Saccharomyces cerevisiae S288C: one gene and its partners. Changing the gene in region 1 together with any one later gene gives a genetic interaction. Each region holds a gene or a part of one and is shown on either strand. Other genes may lie near its edges.

Evidence for each region. Genes that interact genetically often act in the same process or in processes that back each other up.
Region 2: mutations in EDE1 (region 1) and ENT2 together harm fitness more than expected from each alone (negative genetic interaction), as found in Saccharomyces cerevisiae (4 studies listed by BioGRID, with this or other methods).
Region 3: mutations in EDE1 (region 1) and CHS6 together harm fitness more than expected from each alone (negative genetic interaction), as found in Saccharomyces cerevisiae (3 studies listed by BioGRID).

Annotation. Positions count from the first base shown.
Region 1 is NC_001134.8:127,315-133,691, reverse strand, and holds EDE1 (Ede1p), read left to right. Parts: upstream 1-1,651; coding exon 1,652-5,797; downstream 5,798-6,377. Other genes in the region: PSY4 (Psy4p), read right to left, coding at 1-1,268; RRT1 (Rrt1p), read right to left, coding at 6,082-6,377. UniProt on the Saccharomyces cerevisiae protein: Functions at the internalization step of the clathrin-mediated endocytosis (CME) as an early-acting scaffold protein. Requires clathrin adapter proteins, ENT1/2 and YAP1801/2, for normal spatiotemporal dynamics and viability.
Region 2 is NC_001144.5:552,649-556,919, reverse strand, and holds ENT2 (epsin), read right to left. Parts: upstream 2,343-4,271; coding exon 501-2,342; downstream 1-500. Other genes in the region: ubiquitin ligase complex subunit HRD3, read right to left, coding at 1-132; HMX1 (Hmx1p), read left to right, coding at 3,243-4,196. UniProt on the Saccharomyces cerevisiae protein: Binds to membranes enriched in phosphatidylinositol 3,5-bisphosphate (PtdIns(3,5)P2) and phosphatidylinositol 4,5-bisphosphate (PtdIns(4,5)P2). Required for endocytosis and localization of actin.
Region 3 is NC_001142.9:237,698-242,154, forward strand, and holds CHS6 (Chs6p), read left to right. Parts: upstream 1-1,716; coding exon 1,717-3,957; downstream 3,958-4,457. Other genes in the region: 1-phosphatidylinositol 4-kinase LSB6, read left to right, coding at 1-1,389; SAP185 (Sap185p), read left to right, coding at 4,385-4,457. UniProt on the Saccharomyces cerevisiae protein: Member of the CHS5-ARF1P-binding proteins (CHAPS) which mediates export of specific cargo proteins, including chitin synthase CHS3.

The DNA.
Region 1 (6,377 bases):
ATCGCAACCATCTTATCCTCTTGTGAAGAGCTCATCGATGGACTCACTAATTCGTCACCTGGTAACAGTCCTTCACTTCTACCCTCATGGTTTTCATGAGCATCCTCTTTCTCCTCCTCCTGGCTCGATGAGATCTCATTACTGCCGTCCATGGCATTGAGGAGCGAAGACGATGGCGACTCTATTATGGAGAACCTGCCCGTTGCGGTATGTTTATATTTCTTTGGCGTCGTGAGATCCATGTTTGTGAATGATGGTGATTCGTCATATTCAAAGTTATCTAAATCTGTGGGCTTCCTCTTCCTTGGAGTTTCATTTTTCTTGTCAAAATTTTGCACCTTGGTACTTTCGCCCGCCTGCCTATCTTCGTCATCATCTTCATCGTCATCTGTGCTGCCCATGTGATCATCATCCTCATCATCTTCATCTGCACCATCTTCACGATAATCGTCGTCGTTGTCATCGTCATCTTCATCATCGCTATTATTCTTCGTAACATCGCTCTGACAATTTTGTCCTTTATTATCGCTATTATCATCGTTTATCCCGCAATCATCCTCATAGTATTCTTCCACCATGAAATTTTCATCTTTCAGCAAAACATTACGCTTACTCTTATTCCCCATCTCCCTATCTTCATCACCATCAAAAAATCCTTCCTCTTCATCCTCGTCATCGTAGCCTAGGTTGACACTCATTATAGAGTCGATTTCTCTAATAAAGGGTGCCAACTCCCTAGTATTGTTTTCGGTCATCCACGGTATCTTCATTAGTGAGACATCTTCTTGATTCTTGATGAAGTTAATATCTTTCTCCTTATCGTCCTCTTGCTTCTCACCGTGTGTTTTATCAAAAACCTGCCAACTGCTAGTTACCATGCAACATTTTTCTAGCGCATTTACAAACTTCTCCAATTCATTGATCTTGTAATATTTGAAAGGATCATAACACAATTCGCATATCCGAAGTATTGTGAATGGAAATGTATGATTTTGTAAAAAATTATCATTCAGAAACTTACCCAGCCAATTTAATCTAGTAACGAGATTTCTCGCATCGTTCATTTCATTCTTAAGGTTTATAAATAGGTCAAACGGTATTGTTTCAGTGATATGCCGGATTAAATCAGGCAAAACTTGCTCGGGACCCGCCGTCACCAATCGCGTCTTGTCGCCCTGTTTCACCACATCGCTAAGTAATTCATAAAGGCTGATAGACTTGATACCCATCATATTATTATCCACATCATCCAACATCGTCGAGCTCATAGCTTTTTATTGTGCTTTGACAATCGATGAGAACACCAACAAAAAATGATAATAGGTATTGTTAGCTGTGTCAAAATACATGCTTTTGATCGCGAAATGAAAAACTACACAATCATTACCCGTCGGCGCTTCGGAGGGGGATTAGATTTCTCCTATAATCAAAATCTTCAACTATTACAAACCCCTTTTCAGAAGCACATTGAAAACAACACACAACAGAGCACTTTGTGATAGGCAATAGAGTGCTTTTAAATAGAGAATTACTGGTTCTCGCGAAATAATATAGCGCGTTGAAACTAATAAATAGATTCGTGAAGCTCTAGATCTATCTTTTTTCCTGTTTTTATCTGTGTGTTTTCAATAGGATTCGAACGATATAGGCCATGGCATCTATTACTTTTAGAACTCCATTATCCTCTCAGGAACAAGCCTTTTATAATCAGAAATTTCACCAATTGGATACGGAAGATCTCGGGGTGGTCACTGGCGAGGCAGTCAGACCGCTCTTCGCGTCTTCTGGTCTTCCAGGGCAATTACTATCGCAAGTGTGGGCTACCGTCGATATAGACAATAAAGGGTTTTTGAACTTGAACGAGTTTTCGGCTGCTTTGAGAATGATCGCTCAATTGCAAAATGCTCCCAACCAACCAATTTCCGCTGCCCTATATGAGAGCACACCTACTCAACTGGCTTCTTTTTCTATAAATCAGAACCCAGCCCCTATGCAAAGCGGTAGTGCAACCGGCAATACAAACAACACTGATATTCCTGCCTTATCCTCAAATGATATTGCTAAATTTTCACAACTGTTTGATAGGACAGCAAAGGGTGCTCAAACTGTTGCTGGTGATAAAGCCAAGGATATATTTTTAAAGGCAAGATTACCAAATCAAACTTTAGGTGAAATTTGGGCTCTTTGTGATAGAGACGCATCCGGTGTCTTAGACAAATCTGAGTTTATAATGGCCATGTATTTGATCCAACTATGTATGTCTCATCATCCTAGTATGAACACACCACCGGCCGTGTTGCCTACTCAGCTGTGGGATTCTATTCGTTTAGAACCTGTTGTTGTTAATCAACCAAACAGGACTACTCCTTTGAGTGCTAACTCCACTGGCGTATCTTCACTAACAAGACACTCTACTATATCACGTCTATCTACTGGTGCATTCAGTAATGCTGCTTCAGATTGGTCTTTAAGTTTTGAAAAAAAACAACAGTTTGATGCAATTTTTGATTCATTAGATAAGCAACATGCTGGTTCGCTAAGCTCTGCTGTGTTGGTTCCATTCTTCTTATCCTCTAGATTAAACCAAGAGACGTTAGCCACCATCTGGGACTTAGCTGACATCCACAACAATGCTGAATTCACCAAATTGGAATTTGCTATTGCCATGTTCTTAATTCAAAAAAAGAATGCTGGTGTCGAATTACCGGATGTTATCCCCAATGAATTATTACAGTCCCCCGCTTTAGGACTTTATCCGCCAAACCCACTTCCTCAACAACAAAGTGCACCTCAAATTGCCATCCCCTCAAGAGCAAGTAAGCCTTCTTTACAGGATATGCCACACCAAGTTTCTGCCCCAGCAGTTAATACTCAACCAACAGTTCCACAAGTTCTTCCTCAAAACTCAAATAACGGTTCTTTGAATGATTTACTGGCTTTGAACCCTTCATTCAGCTCTCCTTCTCCCACTAAAGCACAAACTGTGGTTCAAAACAACACAAATAATAGTTTTTCATATGATAATAACAATGGCCAAGCAACATTACAACAACAACAGCCACAGCAGCCTCCACCTTTAACTCACTCCTCCTCTGGATTGAAGAAATTTACTCCCACCTCAAACTTCGGTCAAAGTATAATCAAGGAAGAACCAGAGGAACAAGAGCAACTAAGGGAATCCAGTGATACTTTTAGCGCTCAGCCTCCGCCAGTTCCAAAACATGCTTCAAGTCCAGTCAAACGTACAGCTTCAACAACACTGCCACAAGTTCCCAACTTTTCTGTGTTTAGCATGCCAGCAGGCGCTGCCACTAGCGCTGCCACTGGTGCTGCTGTAGGCGCCGCAGTGGGTGCTGCTGCTTTAGGCGCATCCGCTTTTTCAAGATCTTCCAATAATGCATTCAAGAACCAGGATTTATTTGCAGATGGTGAAGCTTCTGCTCAGTTATCTAATGCTACCACAGAAATGGCTAATTTATCTAACCAAGTAAACTCCCTGTCCAAGCAGGCAAGTATAACTAATGACAAAAAGTCAAGAGCGACCCAGGAGTTGAAACGTGTTACTGAGATGAAAAATTCCATTCAAATCAAATTGAACAATTTACGTTCTACCCATGACCAAAATGTTAAACAAACGGAACAACTGGAAGCACAAGTACTTCAAGTAAACAAAGAAAACGAAACATTAGCGCAACAGTTGGCTGTATCCGAAGCAAACTACCATGCCGCTGAGTCCAAACTCAATGAACTAACTACTGATTTGCAAGAATCTCAAACAAAGAACGCAGAATTAAAAGAACAAATTACGAATTTGAACTCGATGACAGCCTCCTTACAGTCACAATTAAATGAAAAACAACAACAGGTCAAGCAAGAAAGGTCAATGGTAGATGTTAATTCAAAACAGCTAGAGTTGAATCAAGTCACAGTAGCAAACTTGCAGAAGGAAATCGATGGTCTTGGCGAAAAGATAAGCGTTTACTTAACTAAACAAAAGGAGTTAAATGACTACCAAAAGACCGTGGAGGAGCAACACGCACAATTACAAGCTAAATACCAGGATCTGTCCAACAAGGATACTGATTTAACGGACCGTGAAAAACAATTGGAAGAACGTAACAGACAAATTGAAGAACAAGAAAATCTCTACCATCAGCACGTTTCTAAATTGCAAGAAATGTTCGACGATCTATCACAGAGAAAAGCTTCTTTTGAAAAAGCTGATCAAGAGTTAAAGGAGAGAAACATCGAATACGCTAACAATGTGAGAGAGTTATCCGAAAGACAAATGAATTTAGCTATGGGACAATTACCTGAGGATGCTAAGGACATTATTGCGAAAAGCGCCTCTAATACAGATACAACAACCAAAGAAGCCACATCAAGAGGAAATGTTCACGAAGACACTGTATCCAAATTTGTCGAAACTACTGTTGAGAATTCAAACTTGAATGTTAATCGGGTTAAAGACGATGAAGAAAAGACAGAAAGAACCGAAAGTGACGTATTTGATAGAGACGTTCCAACTTTGGGATCTCAAAGCGATAGTGAAAATGCCAATACAAACAACGGCACCCAGTCAGGAAATGAGACAGCAAATCCAAACTTAACTGAAACATTAAGTGATAGGTTTGATGGTGATTTGAATGAATATGGTATTCCAAGAAGTCAATCCTTGACATCGTCTGTTGCAAACAATGCTCCTCAATCCGTAAGAGATGATGTTGAGCTACCGGAAACGTTGGAAGAACGTGACACCATCAATAATACTGCGAATAGAGATAATACTGGAAACTTATCTCACATTCCTGGTGAATGGGAAGCTACCCCAGCTACCGCTTCTACTGATGTTTTGAGCAACGAAACTACAGAAGTTATTGAAGACGGAAGTACCACAAAAAGGGCTAATTCAAATGAAGACGGTGAGTCGGTCAGTTCTATCCAAGAATCTCCAAAAATCTCTGCTCAACCAAAAGCAAAGACAATAAATGAAGAGTTTCCACCAATTCAGGAATTGCATATTGACGAAAGCGATTCATCCTCTTCAGACGATGATGAGTTTGAAGATACCAGAGAAATTCCATCAGCAACAGTGAAGACCCTTCAAACTCCCTATAATGCCCAGCCCACATCAAGTTTGGAAATCCACACGGAACAAGTCATAAAATATCCCGCTCCAGGCACTTCTCCTTCACATAATGAAGGTAACTCAAAAAAGGCAAGCACCAATTCCATTTTGCCTGTTAAGGACGAATTTGATGATGAATTCGCAGGGTTAGAACAAGCGGCTGTGGAGGAAGATAATGGTGCTGATTCGGAATCTGAATTTGAGAATGTTGCGAATGCTGGGTCGATGGAGCAATTTGAAACCATAGACCATAAGGATCTCGATGACGAACTACAAATGAACGCTTTTACAGGGACGTTAACTAGTTCCTCTAACCCAACTATCCCAAAACCACAAGTACAACAACAGTCAACCAGTGACCCTGCTCAAGTAAGCAACGATGAGTGGGACGAGATTTTTGCTGGATTTGGTAACTCCAAAGCTGAACCAACCAAAGTAGCTACCCCAAGCATTCCACAACAACCAATTCCATTGAAGAATGATCCTATCGTTGATGCTAGCTTGTCAAAAGGTCCAATAGTTAACCGCGGGGTTGCAACTACTCCAAAGTCTCTAGCCGTCGAGGAGTTAAGTGGCATGGGATTTACTGAAGAAGAAGCGCACAATGCCTTGGAAAAGTGCAACTGGGATCTAGAAGCCGCCACTAACTTTTTGTTGGATAGTGCTTAGTCTGTAATGGACCATTTCGTCTTCTTTTTGTACTTCTTCCTCGAAGCTGAATCATATTTACCCTTTTCCAGGATCGTCCTTGTATATTGTGAATTATTCTAAAAGTAGAATATGTTGTACTTTAAAATTGTTATAGTTATCATCATCTATTTTTCCATTTTATAAAATTTTTACGTTAGACAGTTATGTATTGAAACTGCTTCATAAGTTTTGAAAATCATCCCAGTTTGGTAAATACACTAACCAAAAAAAAAAAAAGCTCTACCACATAATCTTTGGGCGTATTACAACATGGGAAACACGACATTATTGAAAATACAAAAAAAGTAAAGTAAGACTCGTTCAGGGCATAAGTCAATGGCCCTGTAAGAAAAAACAAAGTAGCTAGGCTCATAAGAGATTATCTGTTTAATTTTCTTTGAATAAAAAAAAGTATAAATCGATAAGATAAAATACCACAATGAAAAAATAAAGGCTACTTGAAAACAACTGGACCAAACCAAAACCCAATTAACCCAGACCAGTAATGAAACACGAATAGAAATATACCCAATCAAAATAGAAGGAAGAAAGACCAGAT
Region 2 (4,271 bases), on another chromosome or scaffold:
CATTGGGTCTCTGGACTTAGCTATGGTATTTAGTAGATGTCGCGCTTCAGGCCAAGGGTCCGCTATCGAATCAGCCCTTATTAACACTATTGCGTTACATATTACGCACAGGTATAATAAGAGTGTTATCATAGTTTGCTTATAATATTCGGCAGGGGTTAAAGAGTCACGGTGAAATTTGAATTTCTAATCGATTGTTCTTTTTTATTTTGCTGAAGTGCGAGTTCGTTACTTGCTTACTTACTGCGATTTGCCGTTAAAGTAAAGCCCGCTGTCAACTTTTCCGAAGAAGCGCCAAGAAGGCATACAAGTCAGCAGAAGTTGAAAACTGTAAAAGAAGTACCCACGAGAAGACGGACCCCCTAGTATTAAGTTTAAATTTTTATTTCTTCCAGTTACTGCTCTACATCAATGTAAACTCGCTAATATATATATATATATATATATATATGTCGTACATGTATGTGTACCCATGACAAAAAAGTATATATAGGACAGTATCAAAGATCAATTAAGCTTACACCTTGGTCAGGAGTATATCCCTGTTGCTGCTGTTGCTGCTGCTGCTGCTGCTGTTGTTGTTGATGAGGTTGAATGTATTGTGGTTGTTGTTGATAATTTTGAGTGTATTGTGGTTGTTGTTGGAAGTTTTGGGCGTATTGAGGTTGCTGTTGTTGGAAATTTTGCATGTATTGCGGTTGTTGCTGTGGCTGTTGTTGCTGTTGTGGCTGAGAGTAGCTTATACCAGTAGGATTTTGCTGAGGAGAATTAGTAGGAGGACTTTGAGGTTGGTTACCAAACCCGTACCCTGTTTGCGTGGGCACGATATTTGTGCTTGGTAAACCAGTGTATTGGTTGCTTAAGAAAGGGTTGTTCTTGGGTTCATTAGTAACCTGTTTGTAGCCTGTACCCTGAGAATTTATAAATGTGCCTGTCTTTGTATGTTGTGCAGGAATACGTGCCTCTCCAGTGTTACCAAAAGTATCTATCCCTGTACCAGTTGCTAACAAGGTATTCAAGTCGCTGTATTTATCCGATATAGACTGGTTCCCAGTCCTTGTTTGCTTCAAGGGTTGTTGTTGCTGGAACTGGGCTTGCTGTTGTAGCAATTGGGCTTGCTGCTGTTGTAATTGGGCTTCTTCTTGCCTCTTCTGGTGTAATTGAGCTTCCTCTTGTTGTTGTCTTTGCAATTGTTGTAGCTTCAATTGTTCTTGTTGTTGTCTAGCTTCTTCTTGTTGTCTTTGCAATTGAGCATGCTGTTGCTCCTGCTTTTGTCTTTCAAGATTATCCATGGAAAACGGATTATTAGAACCTGTAGGCAAAGGTTGTTGAAAATCAGCGGGCTGTTGTTGTTGTTGTTGCATATTAGCGGCTGTTTGTTGCTGTTGCAAGGCAGAAGCGGCGGCCGCAGCTTGTTGTTGCTGCTGAAAATATTGTTGTTCAGCAAGCTGCTGTTGTTCTTGCTGCTGGTCCAGCCATCTTTGCTGAGCCATTGCTTGTTCCTGGTCCTGTTGGTACTGATACTGTAAGTATTCATCTTGGGAGATTGGATTACCGAAAATGTCGTAGTACGCTGGTTGTTGTTGTGGTTGTTGTTGTTGTAAAGGAGCTTGAAATTGAGACAGAGACTGTTGTTGCTTCTGTAATCTCTGTAGTTCCTGCAATTGCTTCAACTCCTCTTCTTCTTTACTTAGTTGTAAGGCAGCTTGGAAGTCAGGATCTTCATCGTCGTACTGGGCCAGTTCTCTTCTACGTTGTTCATCTTCTTGAGCAGTAATTCTGCTCTCCTCTAGGGCCTTTTCCAAATCGTCCTGGTAAGAGGGAGAAGAATCGTGTGGGTTGCTCCTTGTTCTTTGTCTTCTTGGCCTTGGCCTAGCAGCTCTGTTCGCCCTTCTGTTTCTTGTATTCATAGACCTCTCTTCGCGTAGCCTTTCTTCATCATTCAACAAAGAGACGAGTTCTTTAGCCTTTACTCTGATAATTTGTCCCTCGTCAAATCCGGACTCATTTTCGTGTCTGAATTCCCTTAATGTCTTAATTACGTAAAAATTCTCTCTGCACCATAGCACACAGTTCTCACTCCCGAAACGAACAAGATAGTCCAAAACGGTCAGCGATTTGGCAACGTGTCTCCAGTATTTGCCCTTATCGTTCAGCCTCTTGTCTAACATATCCATAATCTCGAAGAAGTCCACCGAATCGTAAGATCTCTGTGCCAAATCGTCGAGAGTGTCTATCGATGGAGTCCTCGAGTCGTTCGCCGTGGCATCTCTCACAAGCACTTGTGTGGATGAGTAGCCCTTCATCATGTTCTTTGCAGAACGAACAAACTGCTTAGACATTACTTACAAAACAAATACACTTAATAGGGGTGTGTCAAAATAAACAAAAGAAGATGATAAGAATTTGTGAAGGTCAAACTAGAATGTGAGCGTATTCGCAGTTGTAGGCAAAACAGAACAAAATAATTAAATAAACGAACGCCTCCTTCAACAAAGGTCAATAATGTAGCAAAATATTGGGAGTGTGTCAATCCTTGAAAGGGTCCGTAACTAAACTCTTCTTTCTTTAGTTTCCACTACTTTTTTTTTCACCCTTCGCCGCAGGGTAATTTCTTGTAGGCCATGTATATACGATTAATCGTTACACATAAAATGCGGTTTGGACAAACAATACAATGGATCGTGCGGGATACTGCCAGACTACGCTATGCTCGACTGTAGAATACTGAGTGGTGATATCGCCCCTTCGGTATTGTGATCTTGGGCGCACTTGTTTATCTAACAGGTGCGGGTGCAAGTTTACTAGAGCATCGTCGTATGATGGGGAAAGTCAGGGTGTATGTGCCCGTCGATTGAGCACCAAGACCCGTTGCCATGTGCATATGTTATTGTACCCATAGAGGCAGTCCACGTTCGGCCATCTATCTATCTTTAGATAAACGGATCATTGGCGATACCGCCTGGCCATTTGCACCTGCTCGGGGTCGGCGTTATCGGACCGTGGAATTTGAGCCATGTAACACACGGTTTCAAACATGGGCTAATGACCTTCATAAGTAGGACGATTTACACCTGAGTTGGGTGTGATGGAGCAATGGCCAGGTGCCCCTCTCGCCCTCTTGTGTTTGTATATAAGAGCAACCTCCTCATACTCTCTTGCTTAGTCTAAGGAGGAGCTATTTAACAGTGCACAATATAACACAGCATATATACACACACACACATAAAATAACCGCAAAAATGGAGGACAGTAGCAATACAATCATACCCTCACCCACTGACGTGGGGGCGCTAGCAAACAGAATCAACTTTCAAACCAGAGATGCCCACAATAAAATCAATACCTTCATGGGCATAAAGATGGCCATCGCCATGAGACATGGCTTTATATACAGACAGGGTATTCTGGCGTACTATTATGTGTTCGATGCCATCGAGCAAGAGATAGATCGCCTACTGAATGACCCCGTAACGGAGGAGGAGCTGCAAACTTCGACCATTCTGAAGCAGTTTTGGCTCGAAGATTTTAGAAGATCTACGCAGATCTATAAGGACCTGAAGCTGCTATACTCAAACACGTTTAAAAGCACAGAATCATTAAACGAATTCCTGGCTACGTTCCAGAAGCCACCGCTACTACAGCAGTTTATCAATAACATCCACGAAAACATACACAAGGAGCCATGCACCATTCTTTCTTACTGTCACGTTCTGTACTTGGCGCTTTTCGCCGGCGGCAAGCTAATACGATCGAATTTGTACAGAAGACTGGGGCTCTTCCCCAACTTCGAGAAGCTATCACAGAAGGAACTGGTCAAAAAGGGCACAAACTTCTTCACCTTCAGCGATCTGGGTCCCACTGAAGAAACACGCTTGAAATGGGAATACAAGAAGAACTATGAGCTGGCCACCAGGACGGAATTGACCGAAGCACAAAAGTTGCAGATCATTAGCGTCGCAGAAGGCATTTTTGATTGGAACTTCAACATCGTTGCAGAAATTGGAGAGTTGAATCGTCGCGAGTTAATGGGCAAGTTCAGCTTCAAGTGTATTACGTACTTGTACGAAGAATGGATGTTCAACAAGGATTCTGCTACTAGAAGAGCACTCCACACGGTCATGCTGCTGGTGCTTTCTATTATCGCGATCTGGGTTCTTTACTTCTTGGTAAAGAGTTTTCTTAGCATAGTATAACGTATAAAAAAAAAAGTCTAAATACAAACATAATATATACATGAAATAATATCAAAATATGAAGAATAGGGAAGG
Region 3 (4,457 bases), on another chromosome or scaffold:
TTCAACCATTTGGTTTCTGACTGTATTGAGGCTGTAGAGACATTTGGACGCGAACTCGAGAGAATCCAAACTGGCTCAAGTGGGTCGTACTTTGTGTATGGAACACGGGCCGACGAAAGCGTTCCGGTGGGGGTCTTCAAGCCCAAGGATGAGGAACCATATGGCCCATTTTCTCCCAAATGGACCAAATGGGCACACCGCACGTTTTTCCCATGTCTGTTTGGCAGAAGTTGTCTGATTCCAAACCTCGGGTACATCTGTGAAAGTGCGGCTAGTTTGTTGGATAGGCGACTGGAAACGCATCTAGTACCCTATACAGATACTGCATCTATAGAGTCTTTTAATTTTTATGATAATAGAAAAAAATGGGTATTGGGATACAACCTTCAGAAGAAGAAACAAAAAAAGCTGGGTTCTTTCCAACTTTTTTTGAAGGAGTACATCAACGCCGATGAGTTCTTTCATAAATACCCATTACCTGGGATGTATTCAGATGTTAAACATTCATTTCATCGTAAGTCATCCGGCGAAGATATCAATCATAAACCAGAGACAACCAGGAACCTAACAGATGAGACAGAACCGTCCAAGCAAATAAATTCCTCTCCAATTTCGACGGAATCTGAAGAAAATTCGAAATTTGAATGGACAGAATCAAGTTTGAGTCAGTTCAGATTGGAACTAGAAAAACTAATTATCCTTGATTATATAATGAGAAACACAGATAGAGGTCTAGACAATTGGATGGTGAAACTAATCAAACTTTCAAACAATAAGTGGAGACTCAAGTTAGCCGCCATCGACAATGGGTTGTCCTTTCCCTGGAAGCATCCTGATGAGTGGCGTCTGTACCCATATGGCTGGTTGTATTTGCCTCTGCAACTACTAGCCAAACCATTTTCTGAGCAAATGAGATCTCATTTCCTACCGATATTGACAAGCACTAATTGGTGGGAAGAGTCGTACCAAGAATTCTTGGCCCTATTTAGCAGGGACCAAGATTTTAACGTCCGAATGTGGAAGAAGCAATGGGCAGTATTAAAAGGACAGGCGTTCAACGTTGTCGAAACATTGAAAGACCCACGACAAGGCCCCTTGGAATTGGTTAGAAGGACAAGGTGCCAGGTAATAGATGAGAAGATGCAAGTTCCCTGTTGCCCACCTCCAGTTTCTATTTTCAAAAACGCCATAGACGAACCTATTGGATCATATTCCACTTCACCAATGGTACTCCCTAGCACCCCAAGCACAATTCCATTTCATGCACATAACCAAAGCAATAGTAATCCTGTATACTATGATTCCACTCTGCACCCATTTGCTAATAAAACAGTGATAGCAGAGCGGCTACAAATAGTCAATTCCACCCCCGTATTCACCTGGTGTTGATTTTTTGGAAAATAATTCAATACATACTCAATATAAAGAAATCATAACTCTACTTTAGCATATAGGAAATAGACTCTTTCGAAAAAACCTCTTTCTGTAGTGTTAGAAAGCAACCGGCTATTATTTTTGTGTGTCTTCGAAAAATCGGAACCCAAACAGATCTTAGCGGATTCATGGTAAAAATAGCCTTGAAGAATTTAGGAAAATAAATAGATACTCAAAAAGGAATAGAGGATCTTAACAAATCATTACATTACTTAACTCACATTAAAAGCAAACACCTTTCTTAAGCTGTTGGTGCAAAAAAGGATTACATCTATTGCCCTTATGAATTTGTTTTGGCCATCGGAAACCAAAAAGCAAAATGAAATACCTGGTGGCGATTATACACCTGGGAACTCACCTTCAGTACAAAAGGGTTATCAATTCCTCAATCGAGACATATTTAAAAGTTGTCCACGAATTATGGAAAGGCAGTTTGGTGAGTGTCTGCACAATAGAACGCATTTAATCAAGGATTTAATTTCTTCTGGCAATGTTGGACTAGGTCCCATTGAGATTGTTCACATGTCCTACTTAAACAAACATGAAAAAGAAGAGTTTGGTGAATATTTCTACGTTACAGGGATCGAAGTTTCCGGTCCTGCAATGCCCGTAGAGTTTCTTGAAGTGCTAAAATCGAGTAAGCGGATTTCCAAAAATATATCGAATAATATCATATTGACTTATTGCTGTTTTAATTTTTTCAGCAATCTAGACATCCGTATTAGATACGATGCTGACGATACTTTCCAGACAACGGCAATTGACTGTAACAAGGAAACCACTGACCTGACCATGACAGAAAAAATGTGGGAAGAAACGTTCGCAAGTTCTGTCATCCGAGCGATAATAACAAATACTAATCCAGAGTTAAAACCTCCCGGTTTAGTAGAGTGTCCATTCTACGTTGGAAAAGATACTATCTCCTCTTGCAAAAAGATCATAGAATTACTCTGCCGATTCTTACCACGGTCACTGAATTGCGGGTGGGATTCTACCAAGAGTATGCAAGCCACCATTGTCAATAACTATTTAATGTATAGTTTAAAAAGTTTTATTGCAATCACGCCAAGCCTAGTGGATTTTACAATCGACTACCTGAAAGGACTTACCAAGAAAGATCCAATCCATGACATATACTACAAGACGGCTATGATCACAATTCTAGATCACATAGAAACAAAGGAGTTAGACATGATAACTATTTTAAATGAGACGCTCGACCCCCTTTTATCTCTGCTAAATGATTTACCGCCTCGCGATGCTGATTCAGCACGATTAATGAATTGCATGAGTGACTTGCTGAACATTCAAACAAATTTTTTGTTAAACAGGGGTGATTACGAACTAGCATTAGGCGTCTCTAACACATCAACCGAACTAGCCTTAGACTCTTTTGAATCTTGGTACAACCTAGCGAGATGCCACATCAAAAAAGAGGAGTATGAAAAGGCTCTCTTCGCAATAAATTCAATGCCTCGTTTGCGCAAAAATGATGGACACCTGGAAACAATGTACAGTAGGTTTCTTACCTCCAATTATTATAAAAAGCCATTGAATGGTACCCGCGAACACTACGACTTGACTGCAATGGAATTCACGAATCTCTCGGGAACGTTGAGGAATTGGAAAGAGGATGAGTTAAAACGGCAAATTTTTGGAAGAATCGCAATGATAAACGAAAAAAAAATCGGTTATACAAAGGAAATCTGGGATGATATTGCGATAAAGTTGGGTCCGATTTGTGGTCCACAATCTGTGAATCTGATTAATTATGTCTCCCCTCAAGAGGTCAAAAACATAAAAAATATCAATTTAATAGCAAGGAATACGATCGGCAAACAATTGGGATGGTTTAGTGGTAAAATATATGGGTTATTAATGGAAATTGTGAACAAAATTGGTTGGAATGGCTTATTAAACATCCGAACAGAAGCTTTCATGATGGAAACTGAATTCTATCAAGCTTCTAACAACATTATCGATGAAAACGGTCATATACCGATGGAATCCCGAAAGAAAAGGTTTTGTGAAGGGTGGCTAGATGATTTATTTTTAGATTTATATCAAGACTTGAAATTGAGCAAGATTAGCCTAAGCAATAAAGATGAAAAACACAGCGGATTAGAGTGGGAACTTTTGGGTTTGATCATGCTGCGTACCTGGCATTGGGAAGATGCCGTAGCTTGTCTAAGAACAAGCATAGTAGCTCGATTCGACCCCGTAAGTTGCCAGCAGCTGCTAAAAATATACCTGCAACCTCCAAAAAATATTCAAGAGGTTACATTACTAGACACAGATACCATAATAAGTTTATTAATTAAGAAAATATCATATGATTGCAGGTATTATAATTATTGCCAGATATTTAATCTGCAACTGCTAGAAAAGCTATGCAACGAATTGGGGACGCATATACTGCGTAATAAGATCCTTCTTCAACCTTCCATAGGAGACGAAATCATGGTCATGATCGATGCCATGCTTGCGTGGATAGCCGACCTAGATCACACAGTACAACCTTGAACAAAACGGTGCTCTTAGTATTATTATATAACCACTACGGTTGGATGGACTGAGGGTAAGGGTAACCGTATACCTTTTATTTTTTTTTTTACATTTTGAACTGGGAAGAAAATTTTTTTTGCGAGGGATTGACGGCTAACGCCAAAACACTCCGAAGAGAATGAGAAAAGCTTGGGCATCGCTCGAAGTCATCGAACGGGACTATTTTTGTTTAAAATTTCACCAGATCTGCTTGATAAGGGTAGTTTAGCTTGTGTATTTGGGAAAGGTACGCAAAAGATATATTTTACTAAGATCTTTAAATATTTTTAGCTTGAGGTAATACATGCTAATTTTAGTTGATTAGAGATTCTGAAAAATTCGTTTTAGTTAGTGTTTAAGAATAGTGGCGTTTATCGTTTTGCCCATTTAATAATTAGGAAAAAATATGTCAGGGTCCTTTTGGAAGTTTGGACAAGATTTTGGTTCACAGTCTCCATTAGCTAAACTGTTGAACAGGG